2 linked regions of the Lepisosteus oculatus genome follow. The protein of the gene in region 2 purifies or fractionates together with the protein of the main gene of each other region. This does not show direct contact. Links are inferred from orthologs where the notes say so. Each region holds a gene or a part of one and is shown on either strand. Other genes may lie near its edges.

Region 1 (7,299 bases), on a different chromosome or scaffold from region 2:
GCTATATAAGTGTAAGCAATTATTAATTATTACTATTATTAAGACTTTCTCAGGGACACAGAATCCAGCTGCAGCCACACCTGCGCTCCCAGTACGAAGGTGCTTGTGAAAGGCTGCTCCGCTTCTCACTCGCCCCGAGACACTGCCCACCACAATCCCTGCCGGAAGAGCTCGAAAAACAATTATTCCGAATGGAGATCCATCCTTGGGAGAGGGATCGGCGAGGCCCGCAGCCGGATGACCACCTGAACACTAGAGAAGAGCTTCCCAGCTGGATCTATCCTGGACCTTTCCGGACGGAGCTTACAAAACTGATTCACCTGGAGGGAGACGGAGACGGGGAATGGGGCTCTTCCCATAACCGGGCTTCCCACTGTTGCTCCCTGCCAGCAGGAAGTCCAGGATGTGATCAAGCAGCAACACAGCGGATCCCACATCTGGAAGACACATCTGTGCCTCCTAGGGAAGATAATCCCTTCCCTCCTCAACAGACCTGAACACCCACCCTCGCGCAACGGCATCTGAGAAACCAACCCAACCCAAGCAAGCACGCCAGAACAATGGGCATCCATACTGGCACCCCCTCGCCTCCCAAACACCTGCCCACCTGCCGAGGTCTTCACGCGCTGCTGGCGAAACTGCCCTAGTGGGAGAGCGATGCCCCACTCCTCCGCCTCCGCCGGAGGGGCAGGACCCCCCACAGAGCCCCCGCAGAGGCCAGCCCCCCGCCTCCCAACGAGCTCATTGATGTGAGCTCTGCGCAGCTGCTGGCTCTGGGATGAGCAAGCGTTTCGCTACTTTAGAAGAGAGCTCAGACAAATGAGCACTATTTAGCACACCTGCAGCTTGTAAGAAGGTACGTCAGACATACCAGCAGGGGGGGGGGGAGCTCGAAGACGTGTTGTCTGTGACAACTCTGGTGTCCTCCTGCAGCTCTTCAACAAGGCCGGCAACTTGAGCACACGAGGCACAGGAGTCAGGTCCAGGGAAGTAGGGTCACTTTCTCAAGCGTGTTGGGCAGGACTGAGGTTTTGGTCGCCATGTTAGAGAGAGCAACGTTTGCTCCGGACCTCCGTCCAGAGGAGGGAAACAACGTTAATTCCCAGCCTCACAGGAAAGTCACAAAGAGAATAAAGGAGCTCCATCCCGTTAACCGTCACAGAGAAGGAGGATGATGGGAACTATCCTGAAAAGTTGCTGATACCCTAGCAAGAAGGGGACCTCAGGACCAACAGCAAAGCGAGCAGACCAATCAGGAAATGACAGAGAAGTGCATTTATGAGCGAAAACAAGAGATCCCTCCTTACTCAAAGAGTGGTGGGAGCATGGAGCGAGCTGCCCAGCCATGATGCCGATGCCCTGGCTGCTCTCAAGAAACAGCTGGATGAGATCCGAACAAACTGGTTGGACCCAGTGGCCACCTCTCGTTTACGACTGGCAGATATAATAAGTGCTTGTGGTGCATCTGTCTGCAACCCCAGCAGTTAGCCCAGTAACTAGTCGTTAGTAATTGGTCTCCATGAAGCGTGAGTGTTTCACACACAGCCCTGGAGAGCCACCATCCAGCTCTCCCAGGCCCTGATCCGAACGCGCAGGACACAGGTGGTCCCACAGTATGTACCGCCCTTGGGGGACACCTAGAAATATGCTGGACATCCTGCAGACTTCCCACACCAGGAGAGGACACCATACAAAGTCCCTGTCCATACACCCCAGAGTGCGGCCCCCCAGTCTGTACGGCCCAGACTCCGGCCCCCCCGGTCCATACAGTCCTAGAGTCCACCCCCAAAGCCCAGAATCTGGGCTCCCAGGTCGACATGCCACCTAGCAAAACTTCCCGAGAACAGCAGAGCTCAGGTCAGTCGAACTGGCAGCTCATCACAATCACAGCTCCAATGGAGTTAAACCAATTAAGCCATTAACCCATTAAATCCACTCCGCGGGCAGGGAGGACCAACTTCACGTCCGAGCGGCGAGGACGGAGACAGCAGAGAAGCCCTCAGCCACACTGCCCTCCCTCCCTCACTGAAAACACTCAGCGCTCAGCCCCATGACAGCCGCTGGACACCAGCACACCAGCCCAGGACAACCCCGCTCGGACAGAGAGGAAGCGGACGGGGCCCTGGCTTTCGCCAGCTCGCTGGCCCCCACCACCACCACCCCCCCCGAGGGAGGAGGGCGCAGGGAGCCCGGGGCACAGCGGCCGGGCTCCGGCACAGACCCGCGGACGCGCACGGCCCGTCCCAGAGAGCCCAACTTCCTCCTCCCGCCGCCTGGCCGGCCCCGAGTAAGTTTGTTTGGGTTTGTTTTCGCGCGGGGGAGACGGGGAGGAAGACGAAGGCGAAGCGGCGGCTCTTTCTCGCCTCCGTGGACGGACGGATACTGGCGGCTGTTCACCTCGCACACACACAAAAAAAAAGTCTTCTTTCCACCCACCCACCTCCCCCTCCTTCTCAACACAACCCCCTTTTCTCGTGCCGTTGCAGCCGAGCGAATGCGAATCTATTGCGTGCAGGTACAGAGAGACAGGCAGAGCTGAGGTCTGGAGCTGGAAGTCTAAATGTGTAGAAAAGCGAGCCTTACACACAAGATATCTGACAGTAACATATTGCAAGCAGCTACGCACTGCTCAGATGAATCCCTGAAACATATTATGTGCCAGGCAGACATGATTTGGTTATTTTCTTTCTATCTAGTGATTCCTCAAACGCAATTGCGTCTAAATATTGAGTTAATGTTGGAATACACTTGGACCGGGAGGGGGGGGTATGTTTGGGAATTTCGCTGTAAAATCGCTCCTCCGGCCCAGCCGTGCGTGTTTTTTTTGGCATTTTGCGGGCAGTAAAAGCGGGGTTTGCGATCCACCTGCAGTGTGCAGATGTTGCGGCTTTATTCGAGTTATACAGATTTATAGAGAAATTGCTACATTGTAACAAACTCACCCGAGACGATAGAGGTGCAGGCAGCGCGGGGTCTCCGGCACAGCCCCGCACGGGCTCCCATACAGGACCCGGCAGAGCAACAAACGGAGCAGGGCAGGGCGGCCCGGCGCGATCGCCTGACCAAAAATCAGACGCACTCCTGCCAGTCTGTGGCGAGCAGATTACAGCACACAGGTCATTTCAGTAGTAACTGTTTTGATTTCCTTTTGACTGATTGCTTTCGATCTTATTTTGACTGAATCGTGAAACAGGTGATTCACATCAGACATTATTTGTTTCATGGGAGATGTGAATTACTTCATTCTGGCAGTGTGTATTGCATAACCACAAAGGTTAGCCTAGTCAAGGAAAAAAAGCTTCCAAATGTCTGTTCCCTTTATAACTAATTTCACATTAACACTCATCATCCTCAGACCTGAAGATACTGTAAAGACTCTCAGTCTGGTCATCTGTAACCTCACATTGACACTCATCATCCTCAGACCTGTAGATACTGTAAAGACTGATCATCTGTAGCTGCACAGTAACACTGAACAATGCCTGATTCGGTGTGCAGCACTGTCTATTGTGAACATGTCCGGAGGAGCCCACGATGAGCATCATTAGGAGCTGAGTGAGGGTGAGGAGCTGGGGACTCTACCCTGGTCTACTTCTGCACCAGCCGTTTACACTCAGACCAATAAAAAACGCTGAAGGAACACAGCCTGCTTCCAGCAGGACAGTCCCTTCACTACACGGTTCTAGTTCACCTCCTGGTTCTAGGTCTTAATCATAGACAGTGTCCCCCTCCCTCTCCCTGTAGTTAGGAGTCCCGAGTCCTTATCCACTAACCCTGTCATTCAGCTAGTGATGCCCAAGCCTTACCCAAAGGGGGGCGGGAGTGTGGAACAAGCTGATACCCCGACTTCCTTCAGGAAACAGCTACCGAACGGGCAGTGCAAATCGGGGAGAGAGGTCTTAACTAGCAGGGCAAGTATAACATTTTAAAGAGGGCTCATTAAATAAAAAAGAATAACAGGAAAGACACGTTCTTTAAAATTGTACTTTCTTCTTGTAAGTCCTGGTCACACAGAATCTAATTTTCCAAGGGCCTAGAGCTCCCTTTATTCCATCTGTAGAGTTTAGGGGGAGTTTTAGGTCTATCTTGGAGAGATGGAATTACAGATAGCTGGTGATTGTCTTTTCTGTTTCTCAGGCACCGATGTGCCATCACACACATGCTCACACAAAATCTCAAATATGAAAAGACACACACTGAGTTATTAAATTCTGGGTTACCAAAAATCAAGATTTTAGTAAATCATCAAATCTTCAATTCTGACAGATGAGTTTATGTAAGAAATGCTGCAGAACTACATATAAAATAAACATGACATCCAGAAGAAAGAGGAAGGGTAGCACTGACTTCTTTGAAGGATCTGAAGTAAATAATAAAACGATTCAGTCAGGCGTAAACAGGGACAGCCCCAGCCGAGGCCCTGGCGCTTCCTATGACCAAACGGGTTGTAAGGAATGAGAAAACGCCGCTGCTGATTGGCTCAAACTTAAAAACATCACAAAGAAAGGGTCGGCGCAGGATGGAGCCTAGCCGCTCGCTGATTGGCGGATCGTGGAATGATTGGCAGAGAGGGGAAATCATTAATAAGAAGGCGTGGCCCCGGCTGTTGTTTATAGTTCCTGATTGGCTGGATTTGAATCAGAGTTAAGGCTTGTGTTTACGCTTTAAGGTGGGGCTACAGACGGGTTTACTTTGGGACAGAAATACAGAGAAAAAAAAATCAGTCCTACTTCAGAGAGAGACAGAGAGCGTTAGTGACAGGAGCGCGATAACCGGGGGAGCTACGGTTCCGATTCGCTTTATTATCGATTTTTATTTCGCTGATTGTGATGTGACGCCGAACAGCGATGGCGACCGGGAGACATGTTTTCGCCAGGACATAACCCTGGTCTCGTCTCTTTCTCCAAAAGTTGTGTCGGATCCCAATAGGCGATGGCAGAAAAAAAAAACAGCAAAAAAAAATACTCATAAGGCCGTGTACAAACTGCACAAGGCGACGACCGTAAAAAATGAGTGCAGTGGTGTTTCCAGTCAGCTGTTCTGTTTTGTTCTCTGAACGAGCCGCCCCCTCTTCCAACACGCACACACACCAAGATGTTTTTGCAAAAGGTTCCCACAAGAAGGCGACAGATCGCTTCCGCGTCTGTTTCGGAGTCTCGGTGACGTGATGTATTGACACAGGCGCAGCCTAGGTTCACGGACAGGGGTCCGGTGCGCCCTAGACCAGCAGCATCCGAAGAGTAGGGAGAAATTAACAAACTGGTCTGATTAAGCCAGTAAGGAAATGACTGGGGCGCTTAAGAGCACAGCTGGACTGGAATCCTGCAGGTACACTGGCCACCCCAGGAGCAGGAGAGTAGAGTCCTCTGTTGCTCTCCAGGCCACGGAGGTATGGGGAGTGTTGCTGTGCAGACAGCAGGTGACTATCGTGACAAAAATAATAACAGTATCCTCACACCTGTATGGCGCTGTTCTGGACACTCCACTCAGAGCGCTTTACAGTAATGGAGAATGCCACCATTGCCACCAGTGTGCAGCCCCCACCTGGATGATGCGACAGCAGCCATAGTGCACCAGTACTCTCCCCACACACCAGCTCTCAGTGGGAGGAGAGCAGAGTGATGAAGCCAGTTCAGAGATGGGGATTATTAGGAGGCCATGACCGGTAAAGTCCAGGGGGAAATTTGGCCAGGACCCCGGGGTTACATCCATACTCTTTTCGAGAAATACCCTGGGATTTTTAATGACCACAGAGAATCATGACCTCGGTTTTACGCCTCATCTGAAGGACGACACCTTTTTACAGTATAGTGTCCCCATTACTATACTGGGGCATTAGGATCCACACAGACCGCAGGGTGAGCGTCCCCTACTGGTCCCACTAACACCTCTTAATAATAATAATAATAACAATTGCTTACACTTATATAGTGCTTTTCTGGACACTCCACTCAAAGCGCTTTACAGGTAATGGGGACTCCCCTCCCTAAAGCAGCAGCCTCAGCTTTCCCAGGAGTCTCCCCTCCAGGTACTGACCATGCTCACACTGCTGAGCTCCAGGGGGCTGCCAGCTGAGCTGCAGGGTGATGGAGCTGCTGGCCATGATGATAACACCGGAGTCAGGCAGGGGTCACGCCAGCGAGCAATGAGCCCGAGGGGTCATTGGTGCCAGGCCCGGTCCTGGGGACCCCAAAACCTCGTTGCTGCAGCTCCCCAAACCGAACCAGTGTGTGTTTCTCTCCCCACCCAGAGGTGGGAGACTGTCAAGGCGCTGAAGCAGCTCAGTGAGGTCCGGAGGCGACCTCCGTCAGTGACCGGGGGAGGGACGGCTGCAGGCTGGGTTCGCACCCGGGGCCGGGCGGCGGGAGGGAGTCACCTGCTCACCACGGGTGTATCTGACCGTATTGTACTCCGAGAAAAAAGACAGTCGTGTATAAAGCAACAACACAAACAGGTTTACTCGCTGCTTTTCGCCAGGCTTCTATCGCAGAGGTGACACGTCACACGTCACGTACAGGCCCTGCCTGGGCATTCAGAGAGGGTCTTCTCAGTTTTGTTTCCACGCAAGTGGGAGGCGCGCCAGTTGACGGAACAGCGCTCATAGCAGGGTTTTTAAAATCTGCGTCCGAGCGAGTTCCCTTTTCCCGGAAGTCTGGGTAAACGAACCTTGAGCGCTGTGAGAGGCGAGTGGAGCCCATGAGCACACGCCCCCCCCCCCACCTCCGGAGTGGGAGATACTGCCACTCGTGTCGCGGAAGGCCACGTGGTTCTTACCCGACCCGAGAGCGGGATTCCGGATCTCGCGACTCTCAGTTCCAAACAGCCGCGCGGGGGCGAAGATGGCGGCGCGCCCTCTCGCCGTCCTCGAGGTTGGCGCCACTGCGTCACCGCTCGGGTCCGGGCGCGTGGTCTGGCCGCGAGGCAGCACCCCGGAGGAGGAGCGCTCGAGCGGTCGGTCGGTCGGCGGGCGGGAAGGGGACGCTCGCGCTGTGTACTTGAAGTCGATCCCCGGTCCCTCCCGCCTAAAGCGCGATCGCTCGAGCCGCTTGATCGCTCGACTTTCTTGAATAATTCGGTCGCCATTTTCTTTAAAAACTTCAAAACGGCCACCCGGTCTCTGGGCCCGCGGTAGCGACCGGCACTGAAATAATCTGATCTGGGGAGCGAAGGAAACGGGCAGGAAAACGCGATTGCGATTGACCCCAGTAACTACGCGGCGTTGTGAGTATCGGCGAGTAATATTCACTCATTTATTTTTATTCAGTGAGCGCTTCAGTCCATCACAGAGTGCAGCAGACC
Region 2 (7,324 bases):
ATCAGGGCAGTGCTGAAACTGGACCATTACATTTCCCACTCAGCGTTTTAAGAGATAAAAGCATAAGTAACAATAGCACTCCAACACAAAACCGAAACGAATTTCCCCCTGCTGTTAAATGAATCAAGAGGAGCCAAGCAAGCACAGAAGACTCAGCGGCCCCGAACGATCATGGCCTGTCGCTCTTTAGATTTTGGTTCATCGAGAAAAACAGACACCGACACCTAGCAAGCTCGTCAGTGCAAGGTGCTCCACTACAGAACAGGGCTCCAGAGAATTGGCATGATCCACATAGCTAATATACTGCCCGACCCCTTCTCATAAACAATCAACACTGAAAAAGCTTTTCGCAGGAGAGCCTATATACTACATCTGCAACTTCATCAACAGGTACAGGACCTGCCACAGCTGTCTGTCTAGACTGTGCTATCATCTACCCACTCCAGAAGGGCTTGCAGATAAAGCCCTACCACTGTGAATCCACATATTGCTCTGCGTCGATACAAAGTACTGCCCCTATATATCCACATATGGACTTAGTGGTTGTAAGTAAATATCAAACAACAAGCTTTCAGAAAGTTTTCCATATGTGGGTGTCACTGCCTCTCGACACGGTCGGGTCCCTTTTTCCAGAAGAACTCTTGCATTGAATACTAGAACTTTGATACAGACTCATCAGTCACAAACAGATGTCTGGGCTCTCCATCAGACCGACAGGTCAAACTGCAAACTGGTGAAGATGTGAATATGCTGCACCTTTTGTGCAGAGAGCAGCGCTACACGTTCAGAGTTCCCTTCTGTTTACGAGACAGAACTGGATATCTTAATCCGATTCACAAAAAGATATAGAATGTGAATGACCCAACTCGAGCAACTCTTGACTCAGTAAATCAGCGCATCTTGTTGATCTTGACGGGCACGATCATTTGAAAGTGAAAGACACTGTGACGATCCAGCATTTTAGCACAAACGCATCCTGATGAGGTGGTCTCACTGCCATTTTCCTGTTGAGTCCTCTTCAGATTGGCAGCGGGAAAACTATCCATCCAGCCCAAGGTTGCAGCGAGACCCAGAGACTATCCTTGCAAGCAACAGTCGCAAGGAACGATTCACCCTGGGTGGGACACCAGTCCATCACACACTTACAACAAGCCCTTGGAGAAAACTCCATTTTCTGCAAATAAAACACTTACACATGGAGGTCACAACAACACAAGGGGTGGGCACGGAGAGGACTGGGGTTGTGCATAATACAGAAAAGCAGAAGGGAACCCAAGACCTTGCGCAACGGGCCGGCACACTTTCTCCGAGAAAAGAAGAGTTTGGTTTAAAACCACTGTTGTGGCGTAAGTAAGGAAAACAGAACATACGTATTTTCCTTTGACAACCCAGATTAGAGTTCCCTGAACCCATGGCTACAGCCCCCCCTACAAAAGCACTTTTTTGTGTAGCTGGAGGCTGCAACTCTAATGGACCCCCCAAATATTCATTGATAAAAGCATCCCAAATTTACCTACACAACCTAACGCTGCTAGAGAGTTTTATGTGGACTCAAAAGCTTACAAAAGCTCTCCAAATGATAGAAAATTCTCAATTAAACACTTGACTTTTACACACCCTGGTAGCTGTAAACCTTTAAGAATGGTTCATACACCGACTGCAGACAGGACAGAATTGGCGACAGGGAAGTTTACCGAGAGCTAAAATGGGGAAAAATTAAAACACCATCCCGGACTACAACCTTTTACAAGAAAGGTAGAGTGCGACGGGGCTATTACAACTTTTAAATAACGTCTGTGTTGTTGATTTGTTAAGTAAAATGTTAATTTTGAGGCCTTTAACCCCTCAGATGCACAGGCTTCAAATCCTAAAGAATCCTTCAATTTGAAAACTCGAGTTGAACTGGTGGGACAGATACAGTCATTTTCAAAGTATAAAAATGACATTTCCTAAAGATAAAACGTACCTGATACTTATAACCGATTGGGGAGATATACATTTAAATATTTCTTCTGTATCTTCTATCCTAAACACGTTATGATAATTTGGAATAAACACAAAATGTCTGTCCAATAACAAAACAGGCAGTCTCAACATTACCAACATCAACAAGGAAAGGAAAAAAAAACGTCTAAACAGCCATAGTAGAGTCTGGCGGCTTTGAAAAGGCGTTTATTCGTGTTTAGGTGCGATGAGTACAGTAATAGAATAAATACATTTAAATTATTTCAGCATCGGAAAAAGTCAATATTAACCTACCTCACAAAAGCTTGTTCTCATTGTAAAAAGAAACACAGTAACGCCTATACATCATTATCAGACGCTTTTATTATGGAGGAAAAAAATGTCTCTCTGAACTTGGCCGTGTGAGAAGGGGGTATTTAAATTCTTCATTTTTCGAATAAAAACTGGAATTTCGTTCAGCTGGATACAAAGGGTGAAAATCGGGAGACAAAGAGCTACCAGCCGGCCATGCTGGTTTCTCTCGCTTAGCCTACGCTGGATATATATTTTAAGTTGATGTTTTCAGAAATCCCAGCAGCGAAAAAAGGCAAAACGTTATTTTTTAAGTGTATTGATCCGCCCGGCCTCCCGTACCCTTCCCGGTCTGTATTTCCCCCATAAAATAATTTCATTCATTCGAGCTGAGCGGTGGCTCACAAGCACACGGACCAAGGAGAAACATCTTTCAGCTGACGAGCCGAGCGCAGGGGAAGGAGGAGGAGGAAAAGGAAAGAAGGAAAAGCTCCAGACCGGCAAACAAATGAACGAAGGGGAAAAAAGGCAAAAAATAGGACCCGTTTTCGTGAAAAGGCCACGTAGAGACTCAACGGAGCAATAATCGAGGGGCGCTTACCAGCTCAGGGCAAATGCAGGTCTCACCGGCGCGTCTTCCCCCTCGCTTTCTGCGGAAACAAAGAGCTCCCTGCTGGCTGCACCCCCCTCCCTCTCTCTGTCGCCTGACTGTATTTCTCCAGCCACACCAACCATAGAGTCTGAGCGTTAGCGCCCCCCCTCCTCCACTCTCTCTCTCTCTGTTTTGTTTTTTCTAAAACCCGGCCGGCTTGTCCGAGCGCAGGCGCAGTGCCGGCACCACTGCAGGCGGAATGCGCCGCGGCAAAGAGGCCGGCCGGTGCGGCTCAGCCGGACGTGTTGGACGAGGTGGGGGATGGGGTTACTCTCAAACAGCGCCGAGTGCGCGTACGCGGCTCGCTCACGTCTTGCACCTGAAGAGCAGTACACTGTCGTTTACCAAATAACCTCCTTTCACCCGTACTCTAGCACCAGAGTAGATTCAGAAATCGCACAGAGAGCGTAAATAGTTTGGTCGCTAAGCGTTTTTACGCAGTAATCGTGCATTTCCCCAGGGTCTCCTATATTCGTATGTTCCGAAAGGTACCTTGGCAACATGTTTAAAGTGGTCCCTGGAAACTATTTTTTCCTCTCCCTAAGTTTTATCATCTGTTAAAAAGTGAGAATGAAGGGTCAAGCAAAATCCCGCTTAGGTCAGAAGATATCTTTTTTTTTAAATGACTAATCAGTTTGGGAAAAAAACCCAGAAGACACCAGGTTCTCGAGAAAAGGAGGATGAGACTGCCGCTGGGTCGCGGGATGGAGCCCCAGCGCTCAGACTCCAGGAAGCCCAGGAGTGGAGTCGAAGACCTCGCCCTCCTCAGGGACCGGCGGCACGTTTATCCCGGCGGAACCGCGGAGCCCGACACCCGGCCCGCGGCCGACGCTGCCTGTCTCCGCGACGGCGCGCAGGCCCGAACCCGTGAAGCCGTTTCCGGGACGGCCTGGACGCACTCAGCACGCCGGCGCTGATTGGGGGAGGGAGGACGGGCAGAGCAGCAGGTGTCTTCTGGCCCTGGCAGCACGTCTCGACCACCATCCTGGACAAGCCTTATGGGAATTCTAGCAAGGACCATGGACTCTCTCAGAGGCTGGTGCCACAGTGCCACTTGCGTGTCTTCCTCCGGCACTGCACCTCTGCCAGGAGACCAGTGCTGCCCAATTACTGACCCTCACCCCCATTCTCCCTACCCAGCCCGTTAGAAGCAGTCGAGGAGAGGCAGTACAACACTGGAACACCTCTTGCTCCAGAGTCCAGCAAATCCCACATAGTTTATAAAATACATTTGAAAAATCATATCCCATATACAGCATACTTTTTCCCCTCCAGTTCAAATAACTGGGTCCACCAAGTACATCGAGCCTAGCTCTAGAGAGCTGGAAGCAGGTGAACTGTTCTGATTAAGAAAATAAGACAATTCAGGTTGTACAGCGCCAATTTGGAAAGAAAGCAGCCGATAAATCCCCCCCAGAACAGAATTAGGTCATTTTGCTGCAGGTAACTCGAACCAGCTTGAACACTAGAAATCTCAAACCAGTAGAAATGGGCAACACTCACTGCTCTTGTATTTGCATTGGCTTCTATCATTAAACCTTTAATTTATTATCACACTCCATACTGTACTGTTAATTGAAGCCACCCTATGAACATCTCACTGGGGAGAGATTTTCAATAAAATTCACAGAAACCCACCCTACAGTTGTTCATTTTTTCCATTAATATAAAGGTAAATCAAGAAAAAGCAATTAAAACAAGCAGACATCGTTGTAAATTTCTTTCTTCTTTTAAAAAACAATTTATTGTTTTTCAGCATGTTTTGTGCAAACTCTTCCGTGGAAAGACACAGGAAGAGGATTAGTTTGCTTTCAGAATCTTTTTAAGTACAATAAATCTGAATGCAAGGAGAACTAGACCTGATGATTTTGTTTGGAAAAAAAAAAATGTTCCTAACTTTAAACATTGAATTAAACGGAAGTGTTTAAATATACACAGTACATATAAAGTTTTTTTTTTTTTAAATGTACAATCCCCAGGTAGAAAACTGCATCACACAGCAGGGGTCCAACACTGGAGTCAGATAATTTACACAGTAGATACGCATCAAGAACTATACTCCCGATACAAAGTCGGGCGTGACGATCGGGTTGTGCATGGCCTGCTGTGTGGGTTTGTGGCTGGAATGACATCTTAGATCTTTCTCCACTATGCAGAGGGAAGAATCAATAGACTCCAGAAACATGGGTGCTAGGAAAAGAAAGCAAACAGATGTGGCCAAGCGTTACATTAGCACCGATTTGCTATGGTCCTTCGGTTGCTCCTTTGTCCCAAATATTTTAGGCCCAATAAATTAATGGTGCATAGTAACTGCAGGCATCATGGTACTCGAACCAGAGCTTTTCTATGACCGGGAAAAGGCAAAGCTATGGGAGCTCAGCACCTGTACTTCAACCCTGCAGTAGTGATTTTTGGTTTTTCCTGGCAGGAGAGCGCATGCTAGCAAAGCACTGATGCATACGACCACCTAGGCCTGGATCCACTGTCACTTTCAAGTCAGTGGCATGAGCAGAGCCGTCCTGTCCACCGAAAGATGGGCCGCGTCAGATGAATAACCTTTCATAGGAAGGCTAATGCTGACTTCGCACATAAGGTTCAGGGCTGTATATTAGAAAGGCCTCAACTCCACACTACACAGACAATGCCTGACAGAGCCAGCCCAGACTGTGTAGCTATGAAGACGGGGCGACTTAACCACCCACCCCCTCAAGTTTGTGTGCCAAGACCAGTCAGAAAGATGCCGATAAAAACTGATTTAACTCTTAAAACCAGAAGGGCGGGGGATCAAGGAGAAGGTGTCAAAGAGCTAGGGATGTAGAAAGAAATCACAAAGCTCTCCGTTGGCACCCATCAAAGCAGAACACGCAGCACTTCCGGCCATGATGGAAACAGTACAAACACTGACTGGGAGAGGGACGGATCTGAACATGCTGCTCAACTTGCTGGTGTAAACCTGAAAGCGCAGGCTACTAGACAAAGACGACCGCTGAAATCCAGACGTGGGCGGCGGCGGGCGAAACTGACCCAGAGGGGGACAGTGCCTGCAGAGAGGAGGGACTACTGCTGTACTGCTCTGTTGACTGAAGTGTAATTCAGCACTTCAACGTGGTGAATCAGGCCACTATCCAGCACAGAAACAAAATTACCCGAGTGCAATTTGTGATGAAAACCCAGTGGGGAAGATCTGTGTGGCCAGATTCACATGGAAGGTGCTTGACTGGACAGAAGTCCGAACACGACCTGCAAATATAAACATCAGGCTGTATTTGCGATGGCAGTTTCGTTTGGCCCGAGAGGTAGGATGTTCTTCCTAGACTCGACATATTCAACATGGGTATCCGATCAGGGCATAATCCCACAATGCAGAAGCCAGAGGAACATGTGTTACAGCTGTACGAGCCAGGAGTCAGCACTAGGATCCTTAAAAGGCCACAATCTGCCACACCATTCAGTTTGGGGTCCCCCATTCCAATTCGATAGGTCTGAATGTTTTCCCACTCAGTTCTTGAGCCAACTGAATTACAGCAGTGCAGTACCTTTCAGCAGCCCTTAAAGAGCCAGCTCTCTAAAGAAGGATATAAGATCTAAAATGTGCCTGTCCTCCAGGACAGGACCAGCTGAAGACCCACAGCAACAGGCTTTAGTGGCTCTGAGGATTTGGGAAAGATTAGAGAGTCTTCTGGACTGGGGCCTTGCCGACACAGGTGGGCCTGTTTTCTACCTCAAGAGAGGAATGCTTAACCCCATGGCTAATTTGCCCCATTATCTGCGCTTACCATGCAGGAAAGAACCGACTTCCTGAAAAGATGACAAGTTTAACAGCATCCTCCACTCTCTGCTTAGATAACACACTTCGATACTTTGGCTTGCAGATGAATTTCAGGTAAGGCCTCTGTTCACAGCACACAGAGAGGAGCAGTGACTGTTGAGATCTTTTGCCCTATTACTATAAGCCTAAAGGTCACTTTGCTAACGTGAGCCTACGAGTTACTCGGTTTTACTCACAAAGGGCGTGTGCAGAACCTTTTCAAGCATCAGTGTTAAACAGAGCTGTGCAATGCAGAATTCATCTTCCAAGAGGGGGAGCACTTCGAGAAGACAATCTTCAATCACTAAAAACTCCTTTGCCGTTTTATAAATATAATCACATACTAAACGAAAGAACTTTGTCCGATTGTAAAAACGTCTTTAAAAAAAGAAAGCCGGCTAGATTTGCATACCCAGGGCTCAGCGCTAACCCAACTCGGGAACAACTGCCCTTCTTTCAGAACAGGTTGTTCCCATTTCCAACTCAGCCGTCTGCACCTGTCCAGCATATCCCCGGAACAATTTGTTTTGAAGAAATAAAATAAATAAAAAAACACCACCAAAAGATGCAAAACAAAATCTAGACTCCCATCTTCTAGACTGTACAAC

What was found.
Region 1: the proteins of smarca4a (region 2) and bicra purify together in Homo sapiens (affinity purification with mass spectrometry; 4 studies listed by BioGRID and IntAct, with this or other methods). This does not show direct contact. The link is inferred for Lepisosteus oculatus from reciprocal best matches to the Homo sapiens genes SMARCA4 and BICRA.

What each region holds. Positions count from the first base shown.
Region 1 is NC_090698.1:6,319,125-6,326,423, reverse strand, and holds the start of bicra (BRD4-interacting chromatin-remodeling complex-associated protein), read right to left. Parts: upstream 3,024-7,299; 5' UTR 3,004-3,023; coding exon 2,943-3,003; intron 2,288-2,942; coding exon of another isoform or gene 2,051-2,287; exon of another isoform or gene 1,957-2,050; intron 1-1,956. Other genes in the region: znf541 (zinc finger protein 541), read left to right, coding at 2,051-2,287. UniProt on the Homo sapiens protein: Component of SWI/SNF chromatin remodeling subcomplex GBAF that carries out key enzymatic activities, changing chromatin structure by altering DNA-histone contacts within a nucleosome in an ATP-dependent manner.
Region 2 is NC_090706.1:16,565,976-16,573,299, forward strand, and holds the start of smarca4a (transcription activator BRG1), read right to left. Parts: upstream 3,093-7,324; 5' UTR 2,858-3,092; intron 1-2,857. UniProt on the Homo sapiens protein: ATPase involved in transcriptional activation and repression of select genes by chromatin remodeling (alteration of DNA-nucleosome topology).